2 linked regions of the Nothobranchius furzeri genome follow. The protein of the gene in region 1 binds, or shares a complex with, the protein of each later gene. Links are inferred from orthologs where the notes say so. Each region holds a gene or a part of one and is shown in the gene's direction. Other genes may lie near its edges. The genes, in order: pigs and pigu.

The links.
Region 2: the proteins of pigs (region 1) and pigu are in contact, whole or in part, in a cryo-EM structure (PDB 8IMX), measured with the Homo sapiens proteins. The link is inferred for Nothobranchius furzeri from reciprocal best matches to the Homo sapiens genes PIGS and PIGU. Residues at the interface, in NP_149975.1 of Homo sapiens: Ala4, Gly5, Ala8, Thr9, Glu12, Arg15, Arg18, Ala19, Phe22, Phe23, Val26, Leu30, Leu34, Trp35, Thr38, Thr39, Leu510, Leu511, Phe513, Ile521, Tyr522, Leu525, Phe526; in NP_536724.1 of Homo sapiens: Gln118, Phe282, Glu283, His284, Phe285, Leu287, Phe288, Phe289, Cys291, Val292, Phe293, Ile295, Phe299, Tyr300, Ile302, Pro303, Ile306, Lys307, Lys309, Glu310, Thr417, His418.

Annotation. Positions count from the first base shown.
Region 1 is NC_091750.1:65,604,446-65,608,364, forward strand, and holds the start of pigs (GPI transamidase component PIG-S), read left to right. Parts: upstream 1-1,243; 5' UTR 1,244-1,281; coding exon 1,282-1,333; intron 1,334-1,365; exon of another isoform or gene 1,366-1,933; intron 1,934-2,012; coding exon 2,013-2,152; intron 2,153-2,231; coding exon 2,232-2,343; intron 2,344-2,426; coding exon 2,427-2,516; intron 2,517-2,593; coding exon 2,594-2,685; intron 2,686-2,772; coding exon 2,773-3,013; intron 3,014-3,104; coding exon 3,105-3,247; intron 3,248-3,333; coding exon 3,334-3,448; intron 3,449-3,520; coding exon 3,521-3,666; intron 3,667-3,786; coding exon 3,787-3,887; intron 3,888-3,919. UniProt on the Homo sapiens protein: Component of the glycosylphosphatidylinositol-anchor (GPI-anchor) transamidase (GPI-T) complex that catalyzes the formation of the linkage between a proprotein and a GPI-anchor and participates in GPI anchored protein biosynthesis.
Region 2 is NC_091743.1:68,645,114-68,649,032, forward strand, and holds the start of pigu (phosphatidylinositol glycan anchor biosynthesis class U protein), read left to right. Parts: upstream 1-1,168; 5' UTR 1,169-1,209; coding exon 1,210-1,339; intron 1,340-1,657; coding exon 1,658-1,722; intron 1,723-3,919. Other genes in the region: psmf1 (proteasome inhibitor PI31 subunit), read right to left, coding at 602-730. UniProt on the Homo sapiens protein: Component of the glycosylphosphatidylinositol-anchor (GPI-anchor) transamidase (GPI-T) complex that catalyzes the formation of the linkage between a proprotein and a GPI-anchor and participates in GPI anchored protein biosynthesis.

The DNA of each region.
Region 1 (3,919 bases):
TGTCTGTGGGCTCGGCGGGGCAGAGACGGGCACTGCTTTGTTGGAGTACTGTGGTGTTTGTGATGTTCAAATCATTCCCAAAAACAGTCGGTGTATAGTGGAGAAAATAAACAGTAATTCACAACCTGGGTTCATCTTGTTTTAATTATTTATATGATTTACTCTTTTTAGATGAATTATGCATCCAAGAAACTCCTGCTACTAATATTACATTACTGTTGCTTATTCATATGTACACATTATTGAACCATAACATTAGGACTTCCTTACCTTTAAACCAACAATGGCAGCTGGCTTGAATGTTAGGAATATTAAACAGTTGGAGAGTATTCTGTAGTTTATTGTGTTAAAATAATAACGGTTCTAGTAGCAGTATTTTGAAAAGAACACCCTGAACTACCTGCTACATCCTTCTGATTTTCTTCTAAAGCTGCTTATTATGAACGAGTCAAACTGGGAGTGTTACATGCTTAAATTGCAGGTTTAAAGGTATTCAAGACAAGTCAGTGATACGAAAAAAATGTGATCACTAAAGGTGACGTTAATTAAAACTGTCACAAAGGGGCGAAAGTTTCCCCTTCACGTGTGTGTTTAATATTTTTTCAGGATCGCCCGATGACTTTCTGTCTCTGAAGCAATCACAGTTCTCCAAGTGTAATAATACATTTATCACAAAATTATTGTACTTTTAATATATATATATATAGACGTGTTACTGCTAGTTTACCCATTTAGAGATCCACTAGGATAAATACAATAAAGTTTATCTCACCAAATAGAATATTTACTAAGACATCACAATAGAACTGTAGACACATTAGAGTGTGTGTGTGTGTGTGTGTGTGTGTGTGTGTGTGTGTGTGTGTGTGTGTGTGTGTGTGTGTGTGTGTGTTCTGTCGTCTCGATCCCCAGTGAGTCGTGGAGGATGGCTGCTTATACTGAGCCAGGATCCTCTGGAGGTTTCTTCCTGTTAATAGGGAGTTTTCCTCTCCACTGTCGTTGCATGCTTGCTTAGTATGAGAATTGCTGTATAGTCACTGACACTAGTCAGTGACTTGATGCAATTTGCTGGGTTCCTTATATAGGACACATTATTTCTGATTGGCTTAATGAACTGTGAATTGGAATGTTTATTTTGTGAAGTGCCTTGAGACGACTCTTGTCGTGAATTGGCGCTATATAAATAAACTTTAATTGAATATATATATATATATATTACCTCCTTTATTCTTGTCTGAGTCAGATGAAATATGTGTCACGTGACTCAATGTTGTGTTGGTGATGAAACCGAGCACACCCGGTTCATTGCAAATAATGGCCACCGCGGAAGTGGGTGAGTAGATAGAATGTCACATTATGTTTTAACATTTTAGTTTAGTCAGAGTAAAAAATTTAACTGTACTTTGGGGTCCATTTACAGACTTTTTAAGACGTCCTGTAGCTACATTCACTTTTAGCTGGAGACATTTGTTTTCATGACGTTAAGAACCATTTTTGTTGAGCGCTAGCTCGCGTTAGCATTGTGGTTTCCAGGAAAATGTGCATTTATAACAGCTAGCTTCGTTTTAGATGTAGTTTTAAACAATTATTTTTATTTGCAACCGTCTGTTCTTCTATAATAAGCTGAATAAAACCCATGCATCCATGAAAAAATCTAATAGGTTCAAAGTTTATTTAGCTTATAATTTTTATTTATTATTTTAATGCCAAAGTTAACCCCAAACTAATCGATGAAAACATGTTGCTTCTGTACACAGTTAGATGTTAATGAAGGGAAATAAAATGTTGTGTTTTTATCCTGTTCTTATGTAGTTACAACCATTTATTTATTTTAATAGCATCAGTTAATATTACTGTGAAGTGATTCTAAGTTTAGTGATAGAAATAGATTAAGTATTTGACACATCAGTAACACACAAACAAATAGGCAGAGGTAATTTCTTACAAGACATTTTGCATCCATTGTAGAATTTCTGTAGCAGAACTCTTTTCTGTGTTGGTCTTTCTTTCAGAGCGCAGACGAGGTCAGCTTGCTGCTTTGTCCATAGCAGCTGTGGTGATCATCGTTGGAGTCCCTCTATGGTGGCGAACCACAGAAACCTACCGTGCCTGGTTACCTGTCAGTCAGATAAAACAGCTGGCAAAGCTACAGGTTAGTTTCTGACTCCTAAAACAACCTTTTTGTCTCGTGGGAGTTTGCTTATTCGTGTTTTATTTTTTCTGTTTTGCAGCTCCAGCTGAGCGCTGACGTAGAGGTCGTCTTTGCTCGTGGTACTGTGACCCCCGAGCAGCAGAAGAAGGTTCCACTGACACAAACACAGGAAGAGGAACATGCAGTGGACGGTGATTTAATGAAGTGGTTTAGGAGGTTGTTTCGGAGGATGAAGCGTGCATGCTCATTTTGTGTGTTTATGTTGTGCTTACAGGAGATACAATGTTAAGGTACAGGTTTGAGACGAGGTACCGCACAGCTACGATCATGGAGGAGGATGCACTGAACAAGCCCACTGCTGCTGGTCAGTTAAAGGTTAAATCTCAAATGAATGGTTTGGTGAAATTACACGCAGTTATTTTTCTGTGTCTTGTTTTTTAGGAGCAGATGAATCTCTGCACACACTCAGCGAGAGTCCGTGCGGTTCTCTGGTTTTTTATGTGATCCCAGAGCTGTCCCTATTGCTGCCTAAGGTCAAATCTGCTAGTATTTTATACTCTGCTCCTTATTTACTTCGACCCGTGTCGTGAAAAATTCGGACGTGTTTTTATGCTTTGCAGGACACAGATGTGTACATCGGTCAGCGTCGAACTGCTCTGCTTCGTGTCAGCTCCCAGGTGGGTGTGGGTAGGACACTCGAGCAGCTCCTGGCCCAACTGGAGCCTCGCATCAAACAGGTGCTGCAAGTGATGTCTTTCAGCCACACCGACGTCTCTGCTGTCCTCAGTGACCGAGTCCGTTTCAACCCAGACAGCAAAGAGGGCATTGCTGATAGCATGAGAGCCTTCAAATCCAGCCCAGGTTGGCTTTTATTCAGCCATGAATAAAGTTGGTGTGGTTAAAGTTGGTGTGAAAAAAACTCTGTTTTCTGTTTATTTTTATTTTCCTTTAGGTTATGAGATAACATTTAGTCTGTTGAACCCCGACCCAACGTCACACCAGCTCCACTGGGACATCGAAGGTGCTGTGCAGACCTACATCCAGCCTTTGCTCACAAAACTCTCCCCCGTGGCCAACTTTAGCATCGACTCTCAGGTATGAAACTCCGTTTTGGTGGACATTCAGTCAGGCGCAGAGCACGTCAAAAGATAACCCTCAACCCTATACTTGTGTTCTTACAGACGTTGTACTACTCTGTGCTCGGGGTCAAACCACGCTTTGACAGCAGCTGCGATGCCTACACGCTAAATGCAGACAGCCTCGCACACGTCATCAACCCGGTGGAGGCCAGACTTGGTAAAATAGGAATTTTAGGGATTTGAATCCACTGTGTTGCTTTATGATAACATAAAAATGTTTGATTTCCAGGTTCTAATGCTGCATCTTCCAACCCAGTGCTGAATTTCCTTTTGTACGTTCCTGATGCTCACCATTCCCCTCTTAAAATCCAGGATCATAGGAAACAGGAAGTGCCCTCGAATGCGTTTCATTCTCCTCGTTGGGGTGGAATTATGGTAAAATATTTAATTTTCTCTCACCCGAATGAAAGAAAATAGATTGTTATTTATTGAAAACACCCATCGGAGCAGTGAAGGTGTGATGATGGGGAAAAAGTCTATCCATTATTTCTTTAGGTTTATAATGTGAACGGTTTCTATGAGCCAGAGGCTGAGCTTCCTGTTGACATCAGCATCAACATGGCTGAAGTCATGGGAGTGTTTCTCGCTCAGCTTCGGTAAGCGTCACTCTCCTAGCAAACATTTTAAT
Region 2 (3,919 bases), on another chromosome or scaffold:
TGAACAAAAAATAGTAGATTTATTAAATCATCTGATGTGCGTCAATGTGACCCAGCCCCACAGAGTGAGTTAGTTTAACCTGCTAAAAGATGACTTGACATGTTTTGTTTTGACAGTTCGTTACTTTAAATCATTGGGTTTAAATGAAACAATTTGATTGAAAATAAGTAAAAGACGTCTCCTAGACATTATAATCCAGCGAAGTTAGCTAAATCCAGAAAAGTATACCCTTTTGGAAAGCTAAAGCTAACTTCAAAATAGCAGGTTAGCGTGCGCAAGTTCCCCTAGAAAATCGATTGCTTAATGTCTCCTTCAATAACATAAAATAATCACGTCAGAAACTGTGTAAATGACATTATTATTCTGTACAATATCTTACTGCTGATCTATCGGCATTTATTAGTTTAATTAAAACCTTGTACTTTTTCAATAACGTGTAATTTCATGTCTGATCTTTTGTCTGTTCGTTTCTTTTATGAAGCATAAATAGTGAAACCCTTGTTACAAAAATAACAAACCAGGTCAACAGGTCAGGTTACTGTTTGTCCATTTTCTGCATCATCTGAATCTGACCCAGCTTCAAACAGCCGATTTTACTCACATCATCTCCAGACCCGATACACCTGTATCCATTCTTTATCATTTCCCAGTGAACGAAGCACACAACGGCGTCATGCGGGCAGCTGATGCTACCTGCGACACAGGTGTACAACACCTCCAAGCCTGCCATGTTTCTTTAGTGTCTCGACATCAACACAGCATCAAAACGACGAAAAGAAAACGAAAGTCTTCCCATTTGCAACCTAGAAACTTCTAGCACTTCCTGTCTGGGGATTTCAATGTAAAAGCACCGCAAAAAATTCGTTGCAAGGCCAGGCGCCTTGACATTGAGAAACACTCTTATAGATACATTCTGTAGATATTTGTACTGAGTATTTTTACACAAAAGTAATGAAAATGATCTGTATTACATCTGTGTTCTAAATGAAATCCAAAAAAAAATTATAAAATGTGCAAAAAACCAAACACAAAAAATAATTATGATCAGAATTTTACAAGAACGTAATGCCTTTTCAAGTAAAATAGAAGACGAATAATAGTTTATGTGAACTTTATTTTGTTTTATTTATGTAGTTGTCTTTTTAGACAACATACTTCATTTCCCATCATGCCTTGTACCGGCAGGGCGGAAAGCGCTTCCTTGTGAAGATGGCGGCTCCCTTGACTCTACTTTTAGTTGTAGCCGTTACAATCCGCGCGGCTCTTTACAGATCCTCTCTAGCGGAGGTAATCGCGGAGCGGGTGGAGGTGGTGTCACCCATTACCGCCTGGAAACGAGGTAAGCGCGGGTGCGGCTGTCGTCCGGATCCCAGTTGTTCGGTTAAAATTCCGGTTCCTTCCTGCATCTTCGTCTGAACGATGCTGTCAAGTCAAACCAGTTCCGATACAAAAGACGGAGAGTCCTGATCGGCTTGCAAAAACAAATCCAGACAAGCCTAGACAAGTGCTGATTTCTTATAAAAATGTTGAATAATGTGTGTGGATGCTACATGTGTCATGCTTCAGCCCCTGTAAAGTAAAACCAGATCATTACAAGGTGATTGATGATATTAGCTCTACCATAGAGGATAACACAGATGTTGTTTGTTTTTTGCAGTTATTGAGGGTTTGGCACTGCTTGATCTTGGAGTTTCACCATACTCAGGAGATGTGTTCCATGAGGTAGGAGATCCGCACATTAAATACCTATCATGTTATCAGGCCATGACAGCATTTGTGTCTGCTTTAGGGGTTAGGTGATGAGCTGATTTCAAATCCTCAAGGATTTAAATGTGTTGCCAATCTGCCAAAGTAATAATAGTAGGATTGTCACAAACTATTTATCAGAATGATTGGGAAATGTTGCTGCCCAGATCGATTTGGATGCAACACACTCAGGGCCTGATCACATTATTGTGTATTTATGGTATTTATGGCCCAGTCCCAATACTCACACCTCCACACTTGTGCCTTTTAATATCATGTTCCCAGCCAGGGGTGCAAGTGCATAGGGTGTCCCGATTTTCAAGTGCAGGAAGTGACCAAGCTCATTTTGCACCCTTGATCTGCACTTTTCCCAGGTCTGTATCAATGTGGACTTGGGTGACCCACAGTTACCCACAATCTATTCCTGCGTGTTAAGTTTGAGAAGAAGGCAGGGCAATGGCTCAAGTGCCTTTTCTGAAAATTTGTATTTTCAAATGAAAGAAATTTTAAGACGATTAATGACATTTATTCATGTTGTGAATTTTTTAAGACTAAGGTTTAATGTGGACGGCAATGAATTTCAATTTAGGGTCTCCAAAAAGGGTGGGTAGTCTGAACTGTAGTTTGGTGCATAAGCACTGACCACAGTCAGAACCCGTCCCCCCACACGTAGGCGGAGGGAGGCTACCCTCTGATTCACTGGGGTAAACCTCAACATACAGGCACCAAGATGGGGGGCAACTAATATGCCCACCCCTGCTCAGCGCCTCTCAGTGGAAGCAACTCCAGAGTGGTAGAAAGTCCAACCCCTCTCAAGGAAACTGGTTCCAGAGCCAGAGCCATGCATTGAGATGAGTCAGACTATATCTAGTTGGAACCTCTCAACGTCACACACCAACTCAGGCTCCTTCCCCACCAGAGAGGTGACATTCCATGTGCCAAGAGCCAGCTTCTGTAGCCGAGGATCAGACAGCCAAGGTCCCTGCCCTCGACTACCACCCGTCACACACTGCACCTGACCCCTTTGGCCCCTCCCACGAGTGGTGAGCCCATGGGAAGGGGGATCCACATTTCCTCTTCGGGCTGTGCCCGGCTGGGCTCCATGGGTGAAAGCCCATCCACCAGGCGCTCGCCAACATGCCCCACCTCCAGGCCTGGCTCCAGAGGGGGGCCCCCGTGACCCATGTCCGGGCGAGGGAACACAGTTTCCATTTATATAATTCATCATAAGAGGTCTTTGGGTTGCTCTTTGTCTGATCCCTCACCTAGGACCTGTTTGCCATGGGTGACCCTACCAGACGCAAAAAGCCTCAGACAACTTAGCTCCTAGGATCATTGAAACACTCAAACCCCTCCACCACGGTAAGGTGGCAGCCCACGGAGAGGAACTTACTACGCACTTACTACATGGACTGAAATGCTTGCCCTGGTTTTCTCCATGTTTAATGCTCCTTCTGTCATCCTGGAAGAGAGCGTTAAAGCTTGCAAAATACACAGCCATTTTCTTCTCCATGTCTGAATCTCATGTCAATGATGTCAATATGGTGAGACACAATTGTAGTCCTAAATGTCTTTTCACACAAAACCTAAAATCACTGTTCGAAAATAGCGAATAACAGAGTCTTGGCATAAATGTGTCTTTAAAATTCACGGACGTCAAATGTAAAATCCGTGGCACATATCAAACAGGGTCAGAAAATAACTTTTATCCGCTCATAGACTCCGATTCATTTTTGGGAGCAGTGGGACACCCATGGACCAGAAGTGGGTGGGTGTGGCTTAGGCTCCCCCCAAAAAAACAAGTAGAAGTAAAGATGTTCTTACTTGGTGAGGATTTTCAGTGTTGGTCTGTTAGCATAACTTCAAAATGAGTTGGTGATTTACATCATGGTGAGGTTAACTGTCAGCTGTGGCATTAGGTTAGCATTATTAGCAGCTATTAGCATAAGGTAGATAATTAACCTATATGTTACAGCATCCCCCCCCCCCTCCTTTAGGGCTGCTTTAACATAGAGAGCATGTTTTGTTTCATTTTTGTGAAAATTTACTTTAAATATGAAAAATCATTATTTTACTTTTAAACTAAAATAATGATTTGACATTTGCCACAACCCTCAACCCAAGTTTACATCATATGCTCCTATTTTGATTCCAAATAACCTTTTTGTTTTTT